2 linked regions of the Drosophila melanogaster genome follow. The gene in region 1 interacts genetically with each later gene. Each region holds a gene or a part of one and is shown in the gene's direction. Other genes may lie near its edges.

Region 1 (6,043 bases):
GGCACGTTGTCTGCATCCGTTTGACACCTTTTGTCGGGCCCAAAATGGCACAGGAAATGAGCTGGGCCGTAGGTGACTTGTATTCGTTGTTGCCAGTAAATTGGAAATATAAAATATTCGGCTGCTCAAGCTCGATTGTTTGCCTTCTCGAAAGGGTCACATGACGGTCCTGGCAGTTCCTAGAGACACTCTTTAAGCTGACCCCAAGTCGGATGGCTGTTTAACATTCCGAATTTGTGCACTCGCTCAATTTCCTTCCATTCCCCAAATGTAATTACCCAAAAAGGGCGGCTGCGAAATCTTTCTGATTTGACACGAATTTCTCGGCTCGACTCCGGCCGGAATAATTAGTGTCCATTGAAGGGGCGCTACGGGCGTTACGTGCCAAACAGAACGCCCTGCGGCAAGGACGATGGTTCCTTTGGAGGACTGGCGACCTCGCCTTCGTCGTCCTGGCATAATTGCAATTAAAATGTTCGCCGGGAAGTGCAAACACTTGGAGGCAATTGCCGTGCACAGAAATAATAACAGACAGATTGCGCAAATTAAAATATAATTAGAGACAAACAAGACGCTTGTATAGGCGGGGAAGTACTTTAAAAAATGATTAGCGCAACTTGGTCTATAATTTATGAAAAAAACTTATGAATATGGTCAATCACTGGCATTATTTATAATAAGAAGCCAAGAGCTATTTTCTGTTATGAGCCTACTATTAAGTTCATATCAAGAGATTACTTGTGGGTAAACTATACTACTCAGTTTATACAAAATTAACTAATAAACGTTATTTTTTAATAGGGAATTCAATTTTTTTTAAATTTATTTACTAGCAATTATACATGCGCAATATCAAACAAAGAGATCACCAATCTTTCATTGCATCTACTAAAAATTGCAGTGTATACAGTGGCGCCCACTGGCGGGCGGTGGCCTCGGAATGCCACGCACTTTCCACTGGAAGAAGTTTTTTGTTCGGCTGGAAATAAGCGAGCGTGAGACAGCCCACCTTTTATTTTTTTTTCCATTGAGGGTTGATAGAGTGAGGAACAGGGACAGAGTGAGAAAGAGAGAGATAGAGATTGATTATAGAGGAGGGGAGTACGAATACCTGGTATTTCCTAACTAACGAGCAAGTAATTTTGTGGGCCAACTGAGATGCCTGGCAGGGTCTTTAATGTTTCCTTGGCTACTTAAAGCCCCTGTTGTCTTGGCCTTTTGCCCATATTAAGTATACGCCACGATGGCGAGGTAGTAAGTGGGGGTGGCGCTTTCGATTATTTTTCCAGGGGGTAGGCCTGTGAGGGTCGTTTCTTTTTTTTTTGGCCACACCTTCCATTCTCGCAGGGGTGACTAAGCAGGGAATATGTATATTTTTTTTTCTGCGTGCGCCGAGCGTTCGCTTTTACTTTTGTTTGCTCGGATTTTCGATCGAAAAAAAAATATATAGAATAAACGAAAAAATAAAATGAAATAAAAGCGAAATGAGGAAGAACGAAATTTGTTTCGCTGCCGCTTTATGAAATGTCAAAACTTCAAAGCGAACCCAACTTAAATGCAAGAAAATGAGAAAATATTCACTTGAGTGCGTATGCGCTGTCGACACTGGCATTCTCATCCTGTTTTCCTGATTTCGTGCCCATTGTCCTGTCGTCCTTGTTGCTGTTGCTCTGCCTGTTGTTGTTTGCGATGCTGGTGCTGTTTGAACTGTTGTTGATAGCCTTTATTAGTTGTTGGCCGAAAGCTTAGGCGCTTACGCATTTCCCCCCACATTCTGCTTCCTGTCCCGAAATTTTCACGTCAAGACTTGTGCGCTCCGCAAATAGATATAATTTTAAGCTCCCCTAACAGCTCACGTTTCCCTTCTTTTTTTTTCACTCGTAGTCCACTTTTTTCCCGGGCAGCAAATTTTATTAAAAAATTTTATATTAAATCAATTGCGTGGAGATTTTCTCCTTATATTGTGTTTTCTGGTCGGGGTGGCAGATGTGCTCATGCAAAAAGTTGTTTGGCTGGGAGGCAATTTACGATGGGGAAAAACAAAATGCGATTCATTTCTTATTAAATCAATGAAGAACATAAAGTTCCTAGACTTATATCTTTTATTTTCATAAAAGAAATATACCATTGAGAACACTAATGGAAAATATATTTAATGCTGAGTGTAATTGCACTTTATTCAGATATCGACCGCCCTTGAATATTAATTATTTACAATAGATTCTTTAGCTAAATGCCGCAATTATAACGTCAATATTATGACATTAATTGCCAGCTTGGAAGCTCTATAAAAGCAGGATTATTTTGACAATTAAAAAACAGTTCTCCTTTAAGTTGCATAGCTAACAAACAATGTTGAAAATGGCAAAAGTTGAGCCTGTAGAGCGCTATTGTAAAGTCATTCGAATGATTCGCTTTTGCGTGGGATTTTGCGGAAACGATGTGGCAGATCCCAATTTTCGGATGTGGTGGCTCACCTACGCTGTGATGGCAGCCATTGCCTTCTTCTTCGCCTGTACAGGATATACAATTTATGTGGGAGTGGTCATCAATGGAGACCTCACCATAATCCTACAGGCATTGGCCATGGTCGGCTCCGCCGTTCAGGGACTTACTAAACTTTTGGTAACCGCCAATAATGCTTCTCACATGCGAGAAGTTCAGAATACCTACGAGGATATCTATAGGTCAGAGTTTGGTTTTAACAAAAGCAACAACTTGTTCAATTCCAATATATAAATTAATTTTCTATTGACATATTCAACAATATAATTATTTATTTTACAACATTTTCATATTTTTCCGCAGAGAATACGGATCTAAGGGAGATGAATATGCTAAATGCTTGGAGAAGCGAATCCGCATTACATGGACTCTTTTAATCGGCTTCATGCTCGTCTACATTATTCTTTTGGGCCTTGTAATCACCTTTCCCATATTCTACTTGCTGATTCTGCACCAAAAGGTATTGGTCATGCAATTTCTAATACCATTCCTCGATCACACAACAGATGGTGGTCACCTAATACTCACGGCTGCTCATGTGATTTTAATTACATTCGGTGGATTTGGTAACTACGGAGGGGATATGTACCTATTTCTTTTCGTTACCCATGTGCCGTTAATCAAGGACATATTCTGTGTGAAGCTTACGGAATTTAACGAGTTGGTTATGAAAAGGAATGATTTTCCAAAAGTGAGAGCCATGCTTTGCGACCTGTTGGTCTGGCATCAGCTGTATACTAGGTAATTAGCTAAACGAAATAATTAATACTTATATTTATAGTATTTTGTACATATATATTTGCGTTTATGCAGAATGCTTCAAACCACCAAGAAGATCTATTCCATAGTCTTGTTCGTTCAACTTTCCACAACTTGCGTAGGTCTTCTCTGTACCATATCTTGCATCTTTATGAAAGCCTGGCCCGCAGCTCCTCTTTACCTTTTATATGCCGCCATAACTCTCTACACCTTTTGCGGCTTGGGTACTTTAGTAGAAAATTCAGTAAGTAATTTAGTTGTTATTTAAGAAACTGTAATCATTTTATGCCTTTCAGAATGAGGATTTCCTAAGTGTGATCTACACGAATTGTTTGTGGTATGAGCTACCCGTTAAGGAGGAGAAACTTATTATCATGATGCTGGCCAAGGCTCAAAATGAAGTTGTACTCACTGCAGCCGACATGGCGCCTTTGTCGATGAACACAGCTTTGCAATTGACGAAAGGCATATATAGTTTCAGCATGATGTTGATGAACTATTTGGGATAAGAAAACAAAATATTTAATTAAAAGTCGCTCTTATTTTTAAACCATATTAATACAATACACACTTAATGAGCCAACTGAAAAAATGTGTAGATTAAAATATATTCATACATGCTTTGTAAAACTAACATTTATGGATACCATCAAATAGTTCTTTAATGGGTTTTGCATTTATCAGAACTATTACCTATTTTGACTAATTTAGAATTTCCGAGAATAGTCACAAAGTGGCTAAGCAATATTTAAGCCCTTTAACAAATGAGATTTCTTTGATCAAATCTCGTAAATCGCTAGGCAATTTGGCTCCCATTTTTAGCCATAGAAATATATACTATAAAAGTAATCCGCTGAAACTGCTGCTGAGCAAATGAGAGGAGTGAATTTGGATGGGGAGAGCGCTGATTAATTTTTGCTCTTTGTCTAATGAACTTGCCGCAACGGAATTTAATAAACAGACCCGCACTTTATGGGCCCACAAAAAATGATGTCTGCCAGGCCACAGACCATGAAAAATAGTAAAAACAGCAAAAAAAAAAGAGCAAGCATCGAAAGGAAAGGAAAAAACCCAGGCGATCCAAATGAGGGAAAAGTATGAAAAAGCATCGCTGGTAAGTTGTAAAAATTGTCTTTTAATGCCGTGCAAATCCAGCAGATTGCCACGTAGTGCTAATAAAATAAAGTTATGTCCGGGCATAAAGAACAAAAAGTCCGCGCACCGCTAAAACGCAACCGAAATAGTGTGCCATCGTGAAATAAACAAAAAAAAAAAATAAAAACCCACCGAAATCCACCGAAAAATGGCGTTGAAAATTGAGTGCGCGGGCGCAAGACGAAGAAAAAGATGGTTGCTGAGGGGTGTTGGGAGGTCGGTAAACGCATCATTAATCAAATGTCCAAAGCGTAAGCACCGTTATTCATCATTGCTTATGGATAAGGTGCTCCACCGCCCCATCCTCCCTACTCAAAAGTACCCACACCAACCCCAAGAGGAAGCCCCTCAAGAAAATCCGCATGAGTTGCCATATTCGTTGTACTGTTTTCTTGGCAATAGAAAATTTTGTTGGATTTTTTTTTTTGGAAATCTTGAATCAGAAATGGAGTATCTCATAGCTGTTAAAAATTTCCATATTTAAACATCTCTTATTTAAAGATTTTTAAATGATGATTAAACATATAAATACATATTTTCAGCTAGATTAGATTAGAAACAGGATATACCATTTACTATAAATATTATATTAAATTTTTTTCTGAACCTAAATCCTTTTCGTTTTATAAATTTTAAGTTCACAACATTTTATAATTTACGAACTTATTTTCGAATGTGTAGTTGATTCCGTAGTCGTTGTAATACAAAAAGTTTGCTTCCCAAAAATGACAATCACATTTTCGTATAATTTCTTTATATTTTCCATACCCCTGTGGCAAGCGACTCTCACATGGCCGAGGCTCAGGAAAATCCACAAAACGTGAACTCTAGTCTAGAGCTCCCCTACTATACTCGATTTTACTGTTCATACCCCACCCTAATCACTTTCTCAGCCACCCTAATGGCGCATATCAATTTGGCTCAGCCACGTGCTGATGATTTCTTTCTTTCTTTTCTCAATTTTTTTATATTTACTTTACTTGCTTTTTTTTGGGGAAAAATGTTTGGCTATATTTTGAAGAGCTTGTAGTGTGTATTATTGCGGCCTGAAAGTGAATTTTGTGGGTTTTTTTTCTTAGCGCTGGAACATCATAAATCAGGCTTACATTGCACAGAATCATCAAACAGGCGACAACTTTTCGCAGGAAAGGCGGTCAGAGAAAGAGGAACAGGAACTGCTAATGGAGTTTTTACATTAGAGATTGCTTCCCGTTGGCAGAATGTTGTTTTTATCGGGTCCAAAACATCGAGATGCTGCTCTAACACCCCTTCAAGTGTCAGTTACATATTGTCGGGACAACAAAACGCTTCACTTTCCATCACAGTCGGCAGCAACCCGAAAAAAAAAATGCCCACGAAAAAAGGTTAGAACCAAAAAATTTGCATACACAGCAGCTGAAACAGGATGCGTCCTCTCTACTTTTTTTTTTGGTGCTATTGTGGTTGTCTGTCCAGGAAGTGTGCACATTGAAAGGTTTTCTTTTTTCCACTCCATGTCGGTGGTATTTTATATTTTTTCGTAGGAAAATAAAAAAAAAATACTGCAGTCAAAGTGAAAATGTTAGCTATTAATTGGCCTGCAGAGGAACAAAAGGCGAAAGGGATGCTGGAGGCCAAAACGGCT
Region 2 (6,775 bases), 9.3 Mb from region 1:
CGCTGCACATCACCGGAAATTTGGGAGATGTCATGAAGGAGTCGGCCCAAATAGCCTTAACGGTGGCGCGCAACTTTTTATATTCGCTGGAACCCAATAATCTGTTCTTAGAGCAAGAGTAAGTTTTTTAATTTGCGTTTTCTTATTTTCGTTAATCTATATATGTGGCCCTTACAGGCACATTCACCTCCATGTTCCTGAAGGTGCCACACCGAAAGATGGCCCCAGTGCGGGCATCACCATTATTACAGCTCTCGTATCGTTGGCCACTGGAAAGCCGGTGCGCCAAGATATCGCTATGACGGGCGAAGTATCCCTGAAGGGAAAAGTGCTACCCGTGGGTGGTATTAAGGAAAAGACGATTGCAGTAAGTAAAACAGAAATAAATGATCTATTTGTGTGTAAATATAAATAAATCACCCTCATTCAGGCACGTCGTAGTGGAGTGAATTGTCTTATTCTGCCTGTGGATAACAAGAAAGACTTCGAGGAGTTGCCCACGTACATTACAGATGGTCTGGAGGTTCACTTTGCCACCACCTACGAGGATGTCTACAAGATAGCGTTTACTGATGTAACCGAAACGACAACCAACAATGTTGAAGAGCAGGAGCCGCTGCAGAAGCTTTCCAGTGCGGCCGCTGCCAAATCGGAGACGTGGCCTTATTCTTAGATTTAGCTTGGGGGTGTTGCGGGTGTTGATAGGTTTTATAAATATCTATCGTTATCAGGTTAATTAGTTTATTTAGACCATAGCATTTGTTAATTCTAATGCCAAGTAAATTGAATGTACCATCGAACTGAAGACAGTACTGCGTATATCCTAGACATCTGCATTAGCCAAAATCCAGTCCAGGTAGCGATCCACGCGAGTGTAGATACCCGGGCGACCCCGCTGTCCGCAGCCGACGCCCCAGGACACGATGCCGATCGTGACCCAGCGTTGGTTGGGAAGTTGTACCAACAGAGGACCTCCGCTATCGCCTTGACAGGAGTCCTGACCTCCTTCCGGAAATCCAGCGCACATGGCAGTGTCCGGAACGTGCTGTACAAATGACGACCTGCAATCGGACTGCTTCCAAACCGGCAGGTTAACCTGAAGATAGGAGTAATACATATTTTCTTAATTTAAAAAAGCTTTCTTTGTTATGTTCAGCTTGAGTTACTAAATTGCTGAAACCAATTTGTTTAGATCAATATAAGAAATTGAAAGCTTAAGAACAAAATAAAAACGCTGTATATAAAATGAAATATACTTTAATATGCGACCCACCTCCATGAGGATGTTAGAATGAGGACCGCCAAACTTTTGGGTGCCCCAACCGGTGACAATGGCGTTTCTATCCGACCAATCTTCGTTCACGGGCGGCATGCAAACTGGCCAGATGTAGGTGTTGAATATAGTCGCCCTGTCGATTCTGACAATTGCAATATCATTGTCGTAGTTCTGTGGATTATAATCGATATGGAGCACCATGTTGGCAATCCGGAAATCCCTCGCCCTCGTCTCATTCAGCATATGCGTGTTGTACTCGCCCAGACGCACGAAGATGTCCTCCTTGTTCTTCTTGTAGATGCAGTGAGCGGCAGTTAGGACATGACGGTCGGTGATCAGGACACCACCGCACCAAACGAAGGGCAGACCCTCCTGCAGCAGGGCCGCCATCCAAGGCCACTCGTCTGGCTCGGCTGGCCGTCCACCGGTGAGGCGGGGAAACTGCCTGGACGTGATCCCACAACCTCGCTGCTCCGGCTTATTAACGATGCGCGGCTCATCACCGTCCGCACTGGTCACGACTTGCGGACTAAATCGGTTGCTCGTCGACTGGTCAGTGCAGCAAATGCCTATGGAGCTGAAAGACAAATTATTTGTACATATAATACAAGGATGCCAAGCCATTAAGAAGAAAAATTCATATACCTTTTCTCAATGATGCAAAGCTGGGAGACCAGACGCCAGACATCATTCTTAAGTTCTGGCATGCGACAGTAGATAATGTGGCGACATCGGCCGGATTCACCCAATGGAGTGCTACATGCTCCATAATCCTTGTTCTCCTGCGGTTATCATTTGTAGTTACCTGATACTGGTATGTATGCATAAGACATAAACTCACCAGCAATTGCGAGGTGGGAGCCTGTCGCTTGTTTAGGCGATGTTGGGACAGGAAACTTACGACGCGGTTTTCCCCAGTGCGATTTTCGTATACCTGATTCTCCGACTCCCCCCATTGAAACTCATCATTATCGCTGAAGTCGAGAAGATCTGGGTGGTAGACGAAAATCTTTAGGTTTGGTTTACATTAGATTCTTGGAATTTGTCTTAGAAATATCAAGTATTTGGGTGAAATGAGTTTTAACTTTGATAAATAACTTTGCTATTAAATGCACCTGCACAATTTTTTATGTTGGTATAAAAACGTGACTCACCTAAAAAATCAGTGGATACAGTCTTGGCGATTGTACTCTGCGGGATATAGCCCAGTAAAATCACCAATGCCCAAAGAAATGCCTTCATTTTGAGTTATTTTCGCGAGTGCAGTGGGAATTTTAATCGCGTGTCGCTTCCGTTGCCCGCTGAATCAGTTCTGTTTTGACAGTTCTCCAACCAGCTAAAGCTACTTCTCCGATATGGAGCTGAGCTCAGATCGGCTCAATTTACATACGTCTTGCCTTGGATACTGCTGTTGAACCTGTTCGATGCGTCGACACTATGGGGTTTTCCTGGCTATTAAAGCGTCTTACTCCATGCTCAGTTCCCAGGCGAAAGCTTAATGGGATTGGAACCGCTAGCGATATAGTAACTATTATATAATACTTGAGTTAATCCGAGCACTTGGCTTATCTGTAGGGCGGAAAGCGAGCCACTGAAATGACGTCCCCTTTAATGCCTCTGAGCTTAGACCCAATTTGGTGTATTATCTCAATGTTGCTGGCAACAGCTTGGCAACATGTTGCCAGGGGCGAGTAGTGCCCATGATGATCAGTTTGGATTCTCCGAGGCGAACGTGATGTGCATCGCAAATGATCCGGTTCGGTGGGTTTTGATTCCATAGAAGTATCATCTCCGAAATACTAAGGAAGATTTTATACTCAGTTATATTCTCTATTTAATTGCCTTTTGACGCTTGCACATCAAAGTAGTAATAATAAATCAATTGCACGGCACAACCGGAATCGAAGAAAACATTTGCGATGCACGGTTTGATTGTCACTGCAGAAATGATTTTAATGTCTTAATTTAAAACCCAACCCTTTAACATTTTAACATAATTTAAGTAATAGTATTGAATGATGGAGGCGAAGAAAATGGAATGGGGCGACTTCAGTTGGCAGATTATGTTATTATGTAATAAGACGAATACCGAATAAGTGTACTAAAAAATAAGTTTAAAATAGAAAGCGTCAAACAAATAATTAGTCAAAATATCCTTAAAAAATATTTAAAATATATTATTTTAATATTATTGCGAAGACCATATTTTTATTATTTAACAATTTTTATAGGTAGAGCACTGGATTTGAATTTCTGGGAATATTATATGATCACATATACATATGAATATACATATATGCGGTGCTATAAACTCATCGCTTACCCACTTTATCCTGAAAATTGGTTTAAAAATTATTATTTATTATTTTTTAACAGGTATCTCTAAAATTCGACTATTGTCGTGTCATTCAAATGGTACAAATACAACTTCCTAGTCAACTCAAATGGCGTGCGAGTGTGTTACTTAATTATTAATCCCTGCGATTTAATTACCACCTTTCCCTGCCACCATGATCACCTATAAAACTCTCCTACGACATGGTTACTCAACGTATTTAGCTTTCCGCCACCATGAAGCATTGGAAACGACGCTCTTCCGCTGTTTTCGCGATCGTCCTGCAAGTGCTGGTACTCCTGCTACCCGATCCTGCAGTTGCCATGACGATGGAGCAGTTCTTGACCTCGCTAGACATGATCCGCAGTGGCTGTGCGCCGAAGTTTAAGCTCAAAACAGAAGATCTCGATCGGCTTCGCGTGGGTGATTTCAACTTTCCGCCATCGCAGGATCTTATGGTGAATGCCGCTTTCATTTTGCAGGCACCAGTGTTTGAATCCTTTATCCTTTTAGTGCTACACAAAGTGTGTGTCTTTGATGGCGGGCACTGTGAACAAAAAGGGGGAGTTCAACGCTCCCAAGGCGCTGGCCCAACTTCCGCATCTGGTTCCCCCGGAAATGATGGAGATGTCCAGGAAATCCGTTGAAGCTTGTCGGGATACGCGTAACTACACCCACACTTACCTTTCATAGCTGTAAATATATGTAAGGTATATCTTTGCAGATAAACAATTTAAGGAATCTTGCGAGAGGGTCTACCAGACGGCCAAGTGCTTCTCTGAAAACGCCGATGGGCAGTTCATGTGGCCTTAAAAATGTTTCTGGAAACTAAATTCATACTGGTTCATCCTTTAATGACCAATCCTTGGATGATTGCTTTATTATCTATGTTGAAATCATCAAATAGAATTGGAATTCGTAAAACATAAATTATGACAAGAAAGGAAGTTAGCTTCAAAAAGCCGAAGTATATACTTATATACCCTTGCAGTAATATGATGTTGATTAAATTGAAACCAAAATTTATATATTAAAGACAACTTATGTATACAGAATAACATCAATTTATGATTAAAAACGACGAAACTGTAGTTTGTGTTATATTATTTCATTCGAAACTCTATTTTCCGACTATTCGTATGCCTATATGACAAAGTCGTCCAATTCTGATTGAATCAAAACTGAAATTATATATTGTCAAAGTAACAAAGAACATTTTGTTTAAATTAATTTTTCGATTATGTATATACCCGCAATCGACTGAATTCGATAAGCAAATCTTTTTTTTTGAAAACAATCTTTAATCATATATTTGAAAACCTTTTTGTAGATTAAAATGGCACCCCAAAATATAAACACGCCGCATTGATTTCAAACATGTTATAGTTTATTGCTGATATTATTAACTAAATACAACGGTTTTATGTTTGCATAACGCATACTTATACATTTTGTAATCGATAAACATCCAATTGGCTTAGCAATGCATTCAAACTTAGGGAGATCTTTGCATTCAAGAGGTTACAAAATAAATGCAAATCTTATACAAAATGGTTGCCTTGCAAATCTGCGTACAAAGTTCTCTGTAATCGAGAGTAATCGATATCTTAAATTTCGGTTTCGGTATAGGAGTAGTGTCTTTATATATGTATGTAGATCTCTCCAAAAAGGGTCTCACAAAAATATATCCGATTAGAGCGTGTGTGCGGATTAGTTGATGAATTTGATGAGGATGTTCGAGGAAACCTGTGTAAACAACTAAGAGTCTAATGACATTCACACGTATATATAGTAGTTAGTACATTGTATATAAAATCAGTACACATTAATGCTTGTATATTGAACCGTTTGTTGTTAGCTGCTTTGGTTTGGTTTGGAAATACTTTTAACTGCTACACACACACATCTAAATAGGTTGGTGGTTCCGTAGACAACTATAGTCATACACATACACATATAGTTAGGTATATAATTTGATATATCGTAGTTATAATTAGGTGGAGATTCGGGGCAAACCCTCGTCGATTCCACTGGGATTGTGTAATGCCGTTGATTGTGTTGTGCGTGGGGACCAAATAATGTCTGAGAGCTGGAGAGTGTATACAAATGTCGTATATAGGGGTTTTCTCCTTTCATAACTAGCCTAGAAGAGTTGCTTGTGCTTCGAGTTGAGTTTTCGTTAACATTACGATCTGGGATCACATTTGGGTATATCAAACAATATAGTAGAGAGCTAAAGCTTTTCCATCAGCCCTGTTCTATGCGATTTTAAGATTCCTTTGCAGGGCTTACACCATAAACTTGGTGGTCTTCAAGGGGAAGACGTAGAATTTGGTTTGTGCCTAAGACGTTTGAGCGAAGAAAATGCTTCTGGACAGGATCCATTAAGGTGGTAAGATGACAGTAGACGATTGCTGAGTAAGAGTTCATTGTTCAGGAAGGGGTTGGTGGTAATTTTGATTATGTTTTCCCATTGCATGGACAACCATTGTCCATTATAGCTAGCTTAGTCCATCAGTCGAACGCCGGCTTGAACGTCATCGGCCATGCTGACTCCCTTCTTTTTCTTGCCTTCGCCGGCGGGCTTCTTCTTGGTCAGGACTAGGGTTTCCGGCTCATTCTGCGACTGCTGACGCTTGCCATTTCCGCTGGCTCCGCCACCACCACCTCCGCCGCCTCCCCCTCCGCCGCTGTTGCTTCTCAGCTTGAAACGCGTCGTGGCCGCCGCCGCATTGTTGTTGGCGCAATTGCATATGGCATCGAAGATCCGCACCACGAATCCTCGAGCGCGATTCACCACCTTGCCGTTCTTAAAATCTGGTATGGCGAAACCTGAGAGGTTAGTGCATGCGAGGCGCAGAGAGTACAAAAATACGGAAATAAAGATCAGTGATACGCAAAATACAAGTTAAGTGCAACAAAATATGGTCATGCAATCGAGCTGGCTGGGTTTTTTGGAAAATGGGTGAAAATGGCGTGCGAATGCGTTTATATATTCTAAATTATATGCTTTCCTCAGTTTTAATTGCCATCTGTTAACAACCGTGGAGGAGGCCCACAACGGTCGCCCTGTCATCAGTTAGTTAGGTCAGCCCACTTTTATCAAACAAGTTACAACATTACGCGACAGTTCTCTTAATTTCAGCACGAAGATTATACTTTCC

Evidence for each region. Genes that interact genetically often act in the same process or in processes that back each other up.
Region 2: of Or67d (region 1) and lush, changing one suppresses a phenotype caused by changing the other (phenotypic suppression), as found in Drosophila melanogaster (2 studies listed by BioGRID).

What each region holds. Positions count from the first base shown.
Region 1 is NT_037436.4:10,270,852-10,276,894, forward strand, and holds Or67d (odorant receptor 67d), read left to right. Parts: upstream 1-2,352; coding exon 2,353-2,687; intron 2,688-2,808; coding exon 2,809-3,246; intron 3,247-3,318; coding exon 3,319-3,508; intron 3,509-3,560; coding exon 3,561-3,773; downstream 3,774-6,043. UniProt on the Drosophila melanogaster protein: Plays a role in detection and sensitivity to pheromones and signal transduction of the fatty-acid-derived male pheromone 11-cis vaccenyl acetate (cVA).
Region 2 is NT_037436.4:19,602,324-19,609,098, reverse strand, and holds lush (lush), read left to right. Parts: upstream 1-3,008; 5' UTR 3,009-3,037; intron 3,038-3,127; exon of another isoform or gene 3,128-3,143; intron 3,144-3,652; 5' UTR 3,653-3,847; coding exon 3,848-4,069; intron 4,070-4,124; coding exon 4,125-4,275; intron 4,276-4,335; coding exon 4,336-4,424; 3' UTR 4,425-4,701; downstream 4,702-6,775. Other genes in the region: Lon protease, read left to right, coding at 1-118, 178-367, 431-673; CG9372 (uncharacterized protein), read right to left, coding at 824-1,096, 1,274-1,853, 1,922-2,058, 2,118-2,266, 2,431-2,518; CG9368 (uncharacterized protein), read right to left, coding at 6,118-6,443. UniProt on the Drosophila melanogaster protein: Odorant-binding protein required for olfactory behavior and for activity of pheromone-sensitive neurons.